Xenopus tropicalis: one gene and its partner. The protein of the gene in region 1 purifies or fractionates together with the protein of each later gene. This does not show direct contact. Links are inferred from orthologs where the notes say so. Each region holds a gene or a part of one and is shown on either strand. Other genes may lie near its edges.

Region 1 (7,401 bases):
GTAACCAGTTATAGTAAACAGTTAGTATACAAGAAAAAAATAAGAGCTGATGTGGTCCCCAATCTGCAGGAAAATCAAATCTGCCTGATTAAGATCTGCCCAATTTTAGGCCAGGTATGTCAGGGTTGCCCCGATTACCTACTGTGCCTACTCAACTGATATCTGGCTGGAAATTGGGCAGATGTCAATTGGGTAGGTTTAAAAATCCCTTTGGAGTGAGCAGCGTTGATTCACCCTTGTCTCGATGGCCTGTATCCGGTCAATATCCGGAAAAGATCTGCTTGTTTGGCAATCTCATCAAAAGAGTGTATCTTACAAGGTACAGCCACCTAAAGGGAGTAAGCAACGGCCTGATGTTTCGATTTTCAAACCCAAAGTCTAACAACCATATCGGAACTGAATTAAGGTTATAGTAGAGTTCATGAGCTTTTTGTCACATACACGCATCAAACTCACCAAACTCCTCGCCTTGAAAATAAAAAGTGCTGCCTTCAATATGGGAATTCCTATTGGAATGGAGCGAAAGTGGTAGGGAGCATTGACTGGAGTTCTGTGAAGACAAATCACTGTCTAGGGCAGAAGGTGGAACCAATTTAAGGCTCTTTAACCGTTCATCAATCTCAGCAAATTCATCATCCTTCTGGATAGTAGGCTGGATAAGTCAGGAAAAAGATATTGAGTCATTTTAAAGCTTAAAATGCACCTCATGCACAGTGAGTGTCACTCAGGCTTGCAGATTTTGTACTCTGTGTTGATGCCTGTAGCAAGATCTACAGGATTTTTGGTTATTTTAAAGCACAACCTTTTCTAATCTTTTACTCTAAGTATCAGGGTTTTTTTTATATGTGGGCTACCAAGAACTTTCAGAGTTGCTGTGCTTTGGGATTTAGAGCTATTTATGAGGTAGCCTCATTACTTACTGCAGTTATTAACAAGCACAGTAGCATTGCTAAGGAGTTAGTGCAGGCATGTACATTGATACTAATATTTTTACCTTATTTGCAATGACACGGTTAAAAATTTCCAAAAAAGAACTCTTCTTGGGCCCTCCTATACTTACTGGTATGAGATCAGTTATTCAGAAAGCTCCAAATTACAGAAAGAACTCATCTTAGCAAATAATTCACATTTCTGTGTTAACAGTACATTATATGTGATCCCAACTAAGTTATACATAATCCTAATTGAGGCAAAACAGTCCTATTGGGTTTAGTTATTTTTTTAGAAGACTTAAAGAACAAAATTACAGAAAGATCCATTATGCGGAAAACCCCAGGTCCAGACCATTCTGAAAAACAGGTCCTTTACCTGTCCTATGACATAAGCCCAAATATATGGAAAAAAAATAGAAAATATATATTTCCAAGGAAAAACATGCGCCACACACAAAGCTCTATAGCATATACTTCTTTTTTGGAACATATTAATTATAAACTGTTTACATTTAATCAATTTAATTGAATATGGATTATATAACTCCATTACACCTCCAGTCATTGAAACAGATATATTGGCATGGTGTAGCACGTGGCAAAACTGCCTCTGACTAGATATTACCTTCATTTGGCTAATATATTTAAGGCACTGCTCTTCCTTCTCCAGTAAACTGTCCATTTCTCCTGTATCAATTTTGAGTTCTGTAAAAATAGGAAGCTGTGCCACAGAAAAACAATTCTCCAATTTGTTCTGGATCTGCATCTGCAGCTTGCGTTCCTTATAATCCTTCAGAAATATCTGGCATGGTTCCAGGCCGCAGAATTTTAGGTACAGGATAAGCTGCTGGTCACTAGAATGAATCTTAAGGATTTCAATGGAATCTCTGCAGCCTCCGGTAGATTCTGTTTAGATATGAGGCAGAAAGTCAAGCTCTAAAGCAAACACACAGGTCTGAGTGTGCCAGGAATTGGTGAAATTTAAAGAGGAAAGCTGAACAGGACAGTGGGCCAAGGTAATGTTGCCATGGTTGCAGACTTCCAGTTTAATAGAGAGAAAGCAATGGAAGAGGATCCAGACAGGCCAAAGGCAATGTATTGAGGTAAATAGGTGTTGTAAGAAATTATTCTGCAAAGGGGACCTTATAAATGGAAATTCTGAAAAGGGATAAAACTTCAGTGTAATGTACTCCTTGGAAAACTATTGACTGGTAACTTTAGTCTGGGGTAAAACCATATAAGTGCTAATTTCTGAAGTATTATTGCATTGGTGTGTTTGCGCCCCAGACAGAGGATACCTTTATATATTGTTTTGGTCGCAATATATAAAGGTATCCTCTGAACATACAATAATAGCACTTTATGTGGTTGGGATATACTGGCTACATCTGAATTATGGATGGCACTTAGATATGCAGTTTATGATAATACACCCTGAAGATGAAGTTGTTGTACCTTGGATGTATTGTTACTAAGTTAAGATACACTTTGTTTAGATTAAGATGCATTTTTATTAAGTTAAGATAGCACTTTGAATAGATTTTTTTGAATATGAATGTATACACTTTATAATTCACCATTTGAATATATGTATTTGATTTGGCTTAGAAGTGGCATGAGTGATATGGGTAAAATCTGTCTGTCAACCTCATAACAAACCCAGGGTAGCCATGGTTGTTTACTTTTATAAGATTTGGAAACCACCTGTTGCAGTAAGTAAGATAGTGAATTCTGGTTATATGTGAAGCTGCCATGGTAACCTGGGTTGTGTACAAGCAGTGAGCAATATGCATTGTAAATTCCACACACAGGAGGGTAACTGCCATGTTTTCAGTGAAGTGATGTTAATGTTTATGCACAGGAGCCGAGTAACTTCTGCTAACGTGTCGGCTTAAGCAAAGTCACATGATGCAAGCACGCAGGAATTGGCATTTGGAAAGAATTTTCTTTAAAATATTGTGGTATATATACCCTTCTGATGTGCTGCACCAATACAATTCCCCTAGACAAAGGCTTGTGCTGAAATGCTGGGGTGATTCTCACTTTATCCAAAGGTAACCGCTTTCTTTTCATTGAACTCCTACTGATGGTGTGTATTAACACTTTGCACTGTTGGATTTTTTTGCCATTGGAGATTAATACTGCACTATTGTATCCTTTTAAACCTTCAATAAAAACTGCTTGTAATAATCTCACCACCTCCTATGTATTATATTTAAAGGGTGTGCAGAGTGTTGGTTGTGTGTATTCAAAAGGCAGTAATAGCAAATAGAAATCCAAAAAGAAAGACAAGATCCACACCTTCATAATAACATAAATATGTAAAACAGATCAAAAAGTAAAGATTCCAGTTGGTTAAACAGTAAGACTCTTACAGTCTTGAGGAAAAGGAAACTATAAAGACAGATTTGAAAGTTTGAATCAGGTACATTAGAAAATACATTTTCATGACTTTCACTTTTCAAACACACTGTTATACTTGCCTGATATTGCACTCCTAAGTGCTTCATAGATCAGTGCCTTTTGGTCTGTATATTTTCTGGGAAGGGAAACCTCATCTGACTTTATATAGAGGTACACACTCCCAACCCACATACTAGATCCAGCTGCCATATCTCTAGGTCCTGAAAGACATGTATTATGTTTTTTTTTTTTATAATATAATCCTTATCACGACAACTAATGCAATATGATCATGATGCATAATACAGTTTGGTTGTATATGTATCTGGAAACAATGACAAACAAACAATTTCAAGCTTTTCCTGCTTACACAAGGAGCACTTGGACGCCAACAATGACTTGAGACGTAGAAAAACTAGGAATACACACGGGAGGTGGGCATATTGTGGATGTAGGGGAGGTCCTGAATAGTACTACCTACCACCCTTTGCCTGCAGCACTAGATCTGTTTTTTAAAAGTGGTAAAAAGTTTGTGTTGCTGACAAGTAAGTTGATCATACAATAAGTAAAAAGTTTGGCTACTTGTATGGTTTGAAGATGAATAAAGGTAAATTGGCTCTGTTTCTTTATGACCCCCCAAGCAGATAAATCCCTTGCACTATGCAGATATCTGATAACTTCATATACCATAGCGCTTTATAAATAAAGATATACATACATAAATACATACATACCTGGTGGTGTTCATAAATTCTAATACTGACACCGTTATACCATAGATTCCCCAAAAACAGAGTCTACTTTTGGATCTGGTAGGCTATATTCAATTGATAAAAATGTATCTGGTTATGCCCTCTAACACTCACTCACCGGGATCCACAGTGAAGAAAAACACTTGACTGAAGTGCTACTGAAAACATTTATACCTTCTCCTTTAAAATGGTAGATCCCATTTCATAAAAATACCCATGTGCCATTACAGACCCTCAGTTGAAGCACTTCATGTACACTGGAGGGCATACTACTTAAATTACTGTAAAATAAAATCCCTAAAGCCAAAAACTAAATTTAGAAAAAGTGATAAAAACAAAAACAGGCAACAAGACAACTGGCATAATGTCATCCTTGGTCTGACAGTATTTTTGAATAATCTGTATAATTTGTAGGAACTAGTAGTAATCCAAAGCAGGGCTGCCCAACTGTGAGCCTAGGAATTGAATCTATAGGCATCAAAAGGCATTTTATGACTACCAGGTCCTTTCTTTCTTACACTACTTCCCACAAATATGTGCCATACACAATATATGGCCCTCTAAATAGAAAACAACTTAGACTAGCCCGATCTAGATTAATATTATTGCAAAGCTCGGCATTACTTTGACTGCTGTACTACACGTCTTCCGGCAGTTCAGAATCATTTCACCGAAACCCAGTTAGAATGACTGTAGTTTTATAAGCGGTCAGCTCAATCGAGCACCACATAAACAGAATGACAGCCAGCAGGTACCTCTTACCCCGGCGAGAAGAAAGTTTTAGAAACTGTGACACTTAACAATCTGCGGTACGATACTGTACGCCCCCCTGAAAAATGCAAGAAAAATGTACCTGACAGCAGTTCCTGGCACTGCCACAGTGCTTCCGGCACTGCGCAATTCTCGCACACCTAGCGCGGCCGCCCCTTTAACCCATGCACTACCATGGACTAGGGCAGGAAGTGAAGGACCTAAACGTTCTACGACACGGTACTCTTGCTACAAGATATGCCTTTCAGTTCAAGCATCAGCAGCAAAAAATGTTAATTACACTCCCAACCTGACCCAGTTTTGAATAGCTGCGTTTAAACCCATTTATCACACACGCTTGCCAAACAATGGCCCTTTGCTGATTGGTCGAGCAGCTGTCAATAAAATGATCAGCTGTGTGGCGCTTGGTCGGAACTTAGCCAATCAGGAGTCGGCTAGGTTGCATACACTTCTCTTAGTATGGCCGGCTCTAGAGAACACGTGTTTGGGGAGGAACTCGTCTGACTACCCCGTGCAGGAAATTAAAAAAAAAAAAAAAAAAAGGTAACTAGTTAGGATGCTGGGAAATGTTAGGTAGTGCGTGTAGTGTATATGGCTATAGCTTCCGCCACCGCTGAAAAGTGGTTTTAAATCTTGTTCAAAAATATGTGTTTCCCCGTAAGTGTCTCCTATCTAGTACAGCATGACAGTCCGCTGTTCGCATGATGCCCAATTGTCAGGGATAAGGGCACCCTGGCATAGATTCGCTGTTCCCTGACAACTTGACATCATGCTAGTATTGACTGGTTACCAGTGAAATACTGCAGTAAGAGACTTTGGGGGCCGTTTTCTTCTTCTGTTAGTGACCCCCTGTCTTGAGTTGTCTATTCTTGTCTTTTTCTGAGTTGGTTCATTTTGACAGCTTGTAAAAGTGCCCGCTGGTCCAATGACATGACAAGCAAATTCCTCAGGTTATGGTAGTGGGCAGCCTAGGCTACAGGGAAACTGTTTCGAAGTCAGACAGTAAGCTCAAAACTTAGGGGTATATTTATCGTGCTGTGTAAAAAGTGGAGTGAATCATTACCAGTGATGTTGCCCAATCAGCAATTAGATTTCAACAGTTAGAAAACCGAAGCAAAGTATCTGATTGTCTGTGAAAAGCAACATCACCAGTAATGTTTTACTCTACTTTTTGCAGATTGCAGTGCGCAAAGTTGCATTCTTCACAGTTGTGTATGATGCGCCAATATGTGTGCTAAGGAGTAAATTCTGTGTGTGCAGATTTACCCACAGGCCCTATAAATTGACTGCTTATAGCCATTTCCGTGTTCCCACTGTCAGAAGGAATCTCTCATGGCTTAACCCTGTGTTAAGCCAGTGCCAACGTGGTTCCGCCATTACCTCTATAGGTGAGCGGTGGAAGAAGAGCGGTTTAGCTCTTCTAGTGCAGAACGTTCTATTGTAGTGACGGGGTGTCATCAGGAAGCCCCGGTGCCCATACACGGGCCGACTATAGCTGCCGATATCGGTCCCTTGGACCGATTCGGCAGCTAATCGGCCCGTGTATGGGCAGAACAGAGCTGCCTGGCCGACCGATATCTGGCCAGATCTTGATCGGCCAGGTTAGAAAATCCGGTCGGATCGGGGACCGCATCGGCTCGTTGATGCGGTCCCCAAACCGACTGCCCCATAAGATCTAATGTAATCCGATCGTTTGGCCCCAGGGCCAAACGATCGGATTATTTTTTTTTCAAGTCCCTTGCTACCCGATATCCGTGAAGATCCGCTCGCTTGGCGACATCGCCAAGCGAGCGGATGTTATAGTGTATGGGCACCTTTAGGGTGGCCAAGGGTGCAGAATCGCCCCCGTAAGGATAATAGATCACTTGAAAATTCTAATAAATGCCTGCAACAAGCATTTATTAGAATTTTGAAGTGATCTGGTATCTGGTGTGTTTTAAAATTTAAGTATGTTGTAATGATGGTAAAATGTAGGCATTTCTTTTAATCCGAGGCCCAATTGTGCTGTTTTTCTTTAGGTTCCACCTGCAGGTTTGTGAATAGTATTGGACTAGAAGCACCACATTAATGATATGGCACAGGCTCCTCCATCTGCACGTGTTCTTCTTGGGTTTAAGGATGCTTTGCAAGAAAGTGATGCCTCTTCATGGGATGTGAGCAAAATAGGTGGTCTGCCTGTGAGTAGAAGGAGAAAAGAAATACGTGTGTCAACATAGTGTTGTATGCAAAAACCACAATGTGCTTTAATGACATAATGCTAACTGGGTGTAAGAAGCCAATTTGTCTCAGATATAAAGAGTTAAGCTTAGAAAGACAGCTGGACCTCCAGAAAAAGAGAGCTGCAAAAGAAAATAATTGTAATTTGCAGGACAACATGTACAGTATATGGTTATTGCAACACTGTCAGTATTAGGGAAACATCCTTCCTATGGCTTTCTGGTATCTTAAAATTTTTGGTTATACTGAATGTCCAGTTATTCTTTTTACCAGCTCCCTTGTTGGGGTATAAGGTCTTCTTCAGAAGCAGAGACTACCCTCTCATT
Region 2 (7,396 bases), on another chromosome or scaffold:
GTGATGCGACAGCACGGGCTCCAGCTGCAGTGGATTCGACTCCCCTTTAATACTATACATTTCACCACTGAACGTAAATAGGTGAAATTTGACTGCCTGTTGTTGGCTCCTCCTCCTCCGGGGTGACCCCATGATTATGTTATTCAAGTTTGGGGGGTGTAGCTTCAAAGCTGTGAGAGTGGCAGCAGTTTGAAAATCTTCCCTGTCAAAGTTAATGGAAAATTGGGGTGTTTGGAGTGGCGCCACAAAAAGATGGGGGACGGGATCGCTTAGAAAAGCACAAGCAGCCTGCTCCGCTACAGGGCAAAGAAGTGTGGGGAGTTTGGGTGTTGTACCTATAAAACTGTAGGAGAAGTAGCGTTTAGAAAATGGGGGCGCTAAGAATAAGAACTAGAAAGGGAAGTTTGAGAACAAACTTCATGTTGGTTTGAAAAACGTGAAGTCACTGAATGAAATCTGATTGGTTGTTGTTGGCTCCACCCAGTTTTTCTAACCTTGAATCACAATTATATAGTAAAAACCACTGTGCAAAGTTTAGGGACCCTGGTTTTAATAGCGTCTGAATGGCAGCAACTTAAATTTCCCCACTGAAAGCCAATGAGTGACATCTGATTGGCAGTTGGTGGCTCCGCCCAATTCTTTTAACCTGAAACTGCAGTCCCCTAGTGACCCTGGTTTTAATACTGTGAGATTGGGAGCAGGTTGAATTTCCCCATCAATAGGTGAAATCTGATTGGCTGTTTGTGCCTGTCTCAGTTTAAAAAGTACACTGATAATATGTTTATCAAACAGAAAAAGAACAGAACATCCTGACTGCCATGTTTAAAAAGTACACTGATAATATGTTTATCAAACAGAAAAAGAACAGAACATTTTGATCGACTGTTCACAATACACCAGGGTTGCCAGGTTGGCAGTTTTCCTGCCAAATTGGGCTACTAATTTAAAGCCCTGGTGGGTTTCCAAAGTACAAATGTGCCATGGTACAGTTCTGGCCTATTTTTTGGAGCCTTGGCGGGTTTGGAGACTTTGCAAAGTTTTTTTCCCCTAACGTGCCTGTCCCACTGCATGCTGGGTAATGTAGTTGTATCTAACAATTAGCCTACAGCTAGGATTAATATAAAACTACAATACCCAGCATGCAATTGGACAGTATAGCCAGAGGCTCCATTTTATATTCCTTTTTGCTCTTTCAGGCTCAACCTGTCTGCCCTACAACCTGCTCTATAGGGAATGTGATTGTACTGTTACTTTCTACTGGGATGTGGGGGCAGTTCTGCAGTTGGTCCTTAAGCTATAACTCTCAGGATATCTTAGGGCACTGAAAGTTGTAGTTCAACACACCCATATGTATATCATTTTCCTACTTGTGTCTGTAAGTTACCTTCCCATATAGATTGTAAGTTCTATGGGGCAGGGACCTTCGTCTTGTGTCTTCGTCCTCTTCTGCCGCGACTAATCTCCCCGAGTTGCCATCAGTTGCTCATCCAATTTCGGCAAATCGACGAAAATGCCTGCACAGCGTGTGCCATCCCACCGGAGACTTACATTGTTGCCAGTGGGATGGCAATTCGGGGAGATTAGTCGCCCGCAAACAGGGAGATTTGTTGCGGGCGACTAATCTCCCTGTGTGCCAGAGCCCTAAGTAGCACTTTATAAATAAAGATATACATACATACATACATGTCTGGGGTTAATGCAACATTCTGAATCCATTTCTGTAGTGACTTTCCCGCTGGACTGGGCACAGAGGGAATTATCAGCCATCCCAGTAACTGGAGAGGGGGGGGGGCACGGGGTATGGGTAGTGATTATAGGCTTATAAAGGCAGGTTTTCCCATATCTACTTTTATTTTTTTTTAAGAATTATTTTCATTGCGCATATTTGGCTATTTTATATAGATTGTAAGCTCTACGGGGCAGGGACCTCCATCCTTTTTTGTCTTTGACTCTTAACTTATTGCAGCTGTATTTATCTTGTATTTATTTGTATTTATTGTTGTACTTTGTATTTATCTATTATTATCTTAATAACCCCGTTTGTATTATTCTACTGTACAGCTCTGCGTACATAAGTAGCGCTTTATAAATTAAGATATACATACATACATTTTTGGGCTACTTTCAAAGTGGCTTTTGGCTAGTTTTGGGCTAGTTTTAGAACTGACTTTGGCTAGTTTGGAAAAATCTGGCTACCCTGCAGTACAGCCTTTCTTTTTCTCCCTCATAAATTTAAATGGAGTACTAATTGTAAGCTCTTTTGGGCAGGGCTCTCTTCCCCTCCTGTATCGGTTATTGATTGCTTTATATGTTACTCTGTATGCCCAATGTATGAAATGCAGTAATTCCTTGTAGAGTGTAAGCTCTTTTGGGCAGGGCTCTCTTCACCTCTTGTATCGGTTATTGATTGCTTTATATGTTACTCTGTATGCCCAATGTATGAAATGCAGTAATTCCTTGTAGAGTGTAAGCTCTTTTGGGCAGGGCTCTCTTCCCCTCTTGTATCGGTTACTGATTGCTTTATATGTTACTCTGTATGTCAATGTATGAAATGCAGTAATTCCTTGTAGAGTGTAAGCTCTTTGGGCAGGGCTCCCTTCCCTCCTGTTATCGGTTAACTGATTGCTTTATATGTTACTCTTGTATGTCCAATGTAATGAAATGCAGTAATTCCTTGTAGAGTGTAAGCTCTTTTGGGCAGGGCTCCCTTTCCCCTCTGTATCGGTACTGATTGCTTTATAATGTTACTTCTGTATGGCCCAACATGTATGAAATGCAGTAATTCCTTGTAGAGTGAAGCTCTTTTGGGGAGAGGCTCTCTTCCCCTGACCTGGTATCCGGTTACTGATTGCTTTATATGTTACTCTGTATGTCCAATGTATGAAACCCACTTATTGTACAGCGCTGCGGGATATGTTGGCGCTTTATAAATAAATGTTAATAATAATAATAATCAGCCATTCTGGTAAATAATTACATAGTTTTTCCCCTGTGTAAATCCCAGCTTGCACACGCCATGAGTTAGGAAACTCCCCGGACTGGAATGAAAGCCAAAGAATGACACTAGTTCCACAAATGACAGCTTCCCACGCTTGGAAAGTCCCCGGATAGATTACAATGAATAACCTTTATCATACGAGAAACGAATCGTCATGAATGTATAAAGAAATTCATGCATAGGATATTCTAAATAAATTGGTCAAAACTATTTTTAATTCGTATTAAACATTACCACGTCATATACAATTACACGTACTGCGCAAGCGCAGATCTAGTTTAGCCGGCGCCATGGTACAGTCGAGGTAAGGGAGCGCTGCGGCTGTGTTTCTCTGTGTAGCTTGTGATTCCCGCGTTTTATATCGCTACGGTGGATTTTTATTGACGATTAAGCGGAAGAATGCGGCGGTGGCAGGAAAACGAGAAAAAAAAATCGGACGCAAAGGCATAGAGAGAAAATGGTCGCGGCGTTCCCTGTTGGAGTAAGCTTACTTTAGGGAAGCGATACCAGTTGTGCTCCGCAACCGGGCATACCCGGGTGCAAGTAATTTCTTTGGGCACAGGTTTAAATGGACAGGACGTATTGGCATGCGTCACGCCCCGCCCCCGCTCACAAGGTTTTCTATAAATTGTTTGTGCGACACAGTTTCTCCCTCAGAAAGTAAGAGAGCTCTGTCTCCAGCCCGTCGCCCTCCCTCCCATCAGCACAGGGTGTGGGCGCTGCTGAAATAGTTGTTACGTAAGTAATTTCCTTGCTCCCTTCTGTGATTGGGCAGCTTGCGGGTTCCCCGCCCCTTCTGTGATAGGCAGCTTGCGGTTTTCCCCGCCCCCTTCTGTGATAGGCAGTTATGAACAATGCAGCCTGAGTCTATTGGCGGATTGGTTGTGGGAGCGATGTCAATCTTTTTTTCGCTTGTAATGGCTTTTGCTGTACCGGACGATGTTACGAAGTTACGATGGAGGCTGCTAATGAAAGAATTGTTAGCATGATATAACCGTGTGGCATTGTTTGTACAGTAGCTTCTAGCGATACGTGGCAGCTTGGCCCCTGCTCCACATGAAGGCTGTGTGTAGCGACCCCCTTGCCTCTGTGTGTGGCTGCCCCAAGGGTGACTAAACGGAATGTCTAGTTATTTTAACTACTCTTTGTGCTTTTTCTTTTTTTAACCAATAGATATTTTTGTAATACAGCTCTCTGGTTTAAAAAGAATGCTTGTTGCTATGGCTTTGTTAGGTTGGCAACCAGACTATGGTACTTATGAGGGAATAAAGGCAGAAGGTGCTAAAGAAAATCTAGCCTTGGGATTGATCTCCTTTTCTACCAATAAAAGAGGAATAATTGGAAGTTGTCTCACAGTATGGATAATACCAAATGGATTAATGCTATAATGTAATTGTATAGCTTATTTCCCCTTTAAACATCCAGCTCAGCTCATGTTCCTGAATGGTACCTCACAAGCAGTCATCTAATGGATTTCTGTCACCATAAGATCATACAAATGGTTACTTGTAATAGAATGACCTATTAGCAGCTTTTTTTTTTAATTATTTGCCATTCTTTTTCTGCTTATTTCAGGAAAGCCAAAGAACATACGCTCTGTGAGGCTAAAGTTCTAAGGTTGCTTTGTATTATACTTTTTTAAATTCAGCCCCTGTCCTATTAATCTTCCAGTCTGGCTTTCAAACCACTGCCTGGTTGCTAGGCTAAACTGAAACACTAGCTGGTTTCTAAAGTAAATTGGAACACTTACTGCTCAGCACCCAGATGGCTGCCTCAATTCTACACTGAAAAAAAACAAAATGAAGCCTAATTGCAAATTGTTTCTAAATACCACTGTCTACATCTAAAGCTGGCCATACACGCACCGATAATATCGTATGAAACCTTGTTTCGTACGATATTCGGTGCGTGTATGGCATGTTGGCGAGCTGAATGGTGTGTGGCGGATCTGGCGATGTTTCGTGCGACCGATGGTTGCATGAAAGATCGTCAGATCGCCACGTGTGTGGCCACCTTAAAGGAACAGTAACACCAAAAAATTTATATATTTTAAAGAAATTAAACTATAATGTACTGCTGCCCTGCACTGGTAAAAGTTTTATGTTTGCTTCAGAAACATTACTAGAGTTTATATAAACCCTGGTGTGTAGCCATGGGGGCAGCCATTCAAAAGAAGAAAAGGCACAGGTTATACAGCAGCTAACAGATAAACCCTGTAGAATACAATGGTGTCTTATCTGTTATCTGCTATGTAACCTGTGCCTTTTTTCCAGCTTGAATGCTGCCCCCATGGCTACACAGCAGCTTATTTATATAAACTATAGTAGTGTTCCTGAAGCAAACACACCAGTTTTACCAGTGCAGGGCCACAGCACATTATATTTCCATTACTTTAAAACACTTTTATTTTTTGGTGTTACTGTTCCTTTAAGGGTGAAGACACACAGAGCTACTAGAAGCAGCTACTTGTCAGACAATGCTGATCATTTACTGATAATTGTCTTTTTTTTAAAAGGTGTTTATTTTTCATTTTAAGAACAATACAACATATACAGACATTAGCTACAAACAATGTAGCTGTTAACTTTTGCAGTCAAATTAGCAAGGTACAGTACAAAGAATTGTTGTTGTTTTATTGTTTCAGCTGTTATAGGATCATATACATTTACCATAGCTTACTATCGGTCTGGATTCAATCATTTCTGTTAGATGGTAGTTATGTTTTAGATTGCGGGTCATCGCTACCCATTCTGCTATTGTGGGTGCAATAGGACTCATCCATTTCATGATAAGTAATTTTTTTGCGTAGAACAGTGTTGCCCTCATTAAGTTTCTGGGTTGATTTTGTGGAACTAGCTCGTCTATCAGACCTAGGAGGCATACTTCTGGGGTCCTGACTCTAGGTAGGATTAGTTGTTCGTTGAGATATTGTATGATTCCAGACCAGTAGTTAGCTATGTGGATGCAGTCCCATACCATATGGATAAATCCTGCGTTGACATTGTGACATTTAGGACATTCTGCATTTGGTGATCTGCCCATAGCTTTAAGTCTGGTTGGGGTGATATATACTTGGTGGTAGAATTTGAATTGTATAACTCTATCTCTAGTGGCTATGAGAAAATCGTATATGTGGTCCGTTGCTTCTTCCCATTGCTCCTCGTTTAGTTGTGGGAGTATCTGGTTCCATTTCATTTTAGCTTTATCAAATGGGGAGGGTGTTACTTTCAGTATAACTTTGTACAGTTGGGAGAGGAGTTTCTTCCCTCCCGGATCCCAGAGTCTTATTTCCCATGGGGTTGAGCTCGTGTCAATTGTTAGTGAACCAAATTGCGCTTTGAATACGTGCCTTAATTGAAGGTATCTATAAAACTGCAAGTTTGGCTTCTCCAATTTCTCTTTGAGTATATTGAATTGGACAAAGATACCATTAATTAGCACATCCGAGAGCCATTTTACCCCATTGGCTGGCCAGTATTGGAAATCAGGCAATTCCTTAAAGTGTTGTAAGTTAGTATTATTCCATAGTGGCATTTGTAGTGAATGACCCTTGATGTTTACTCTGTTTTGCTTTATCAATTTAGCCCATGCTGTCATTGGGGTAGTAAGTACTTCTGGAAGAGGTATTATGTCCCTCTTTTTCCTATACGGTGCATTACGGAGTGCTTCCAATGAACCAATTAGGTTCCCATGTAATGCTGTGAGTGGGTTGTCAGGATCTGGGTTGAACTCTGATAATTGTCTTTACGTGAGTTTTAGCAGAGGCAATTCTCAGTATTGTCTGTGGCAGGGGATTTTCTGGAGTTTAGTAGCCTTGAAAAAGTAGCTGCTACTAGTAGCCCAGTGTGTGTTCACCCTAAAGGTGGCCATACACGGACCGATTTTTTACTTACAAACGACCGATTCGCGAACGATCCGATGCTATCGTTAAGTTATCGTATAGTTGGTGGTGTACGAACGATCGTCGGCCCACTAAACGAGCCGACATTATCGTCCCCAAAATCGATCGGCCAGGTTTAAAAATTTTGGTCGTTTAACGATAAAATCTGCCAGTTGGTGTGAGTGTCAGACATTTGTCTTTCAACGATTGTTCTCTGCGCATGTCACGATTGCCAGCAGCGGAAGTCAACGACATTCGATCGTACGTAGATGTACGATCGTAGGTATTTTACGATAATGATGCGACAAAATCTTTCCCGAATTATCGTTGCCCGTGGATGGCATATCGTATGGGAACTCGATCGCCATACGATCGTTTGTCGATATAATCGTTCATCGCACAACGAGCGAAATCGCCTCGTGTATGTTTATAAAACCTGAGCCATTTCTACGGGCAGAGTATGGAACAGAGTAGGGTGGGTCGTAGGAGCTTGGGATCTTGTTTTTGCTATTGCAGCA

What was found.
Region 2: the proteins of tradd (region 1) and birc2 purify together in Homo sapiens (affinity purification with western blotting; 3 studies listed by BioGRID and IntAct, with this or other methods). This does not show direct contact. The link is inferred for Xenopus tropicalis from reciprocal best matches to the Homo sapiens genes TRADD and BIRC2.

Annotation. Positions count from the first base shown.
Region 1 is NC_030680.2:52,148,303-52,155,703, forward strand, and holds the start of tradd (tumor necrosis factor receptor type 1-associated DEATH domain protein), read right to left. Parts: upstream 5,167-7,401; 5' UTR 4,941-5,166; intron 4,937-4,940; exon of another isoform or gene 4,850-4,936; intron 4,830-4,849; exon of another isoform or gene 4,712-4,829; intron 3,557-4,711; 5' UTR 3,546-3,556; coding exon 3,416-3,545; intron 1,839-3,415; coding exon 1,558-1,838; intron 653-1,557; coding exon 457-652; intron 1-456. Other genes in the region: pdcd2l (programmed cell death protein 2-like), read left to right, coding at 6,931-7,035. UniProt on the Homo sapiens protein: Adapter molecule for TNFRSF1A/TNFR1 that specifically associates with the cytoplasmic domain of activated TNFRSF1A/TNFR1 mediating its interaction with FADD.
Region 2 is NC_030678.2:162,214,831-162,222,226, reverse strand, and holds the start of birc2 (baculoviral IAP repeat-containing protein 2), read left to right. Parts: upstream 1-3,278; 5' UTR 3,279-3,302; intron 3,303-3,631; exon of another isoform or gene 3,632-3,736; intron 3,737-7,396. UniProt on the Homo sapiens protein: Multi-functional protein which regulates not only caspases and apoptosis, but also modulates inflammatory signaling and immunity, mitogenic kinase signaling, and cell proliferation, as well as cell invasion and metastasis.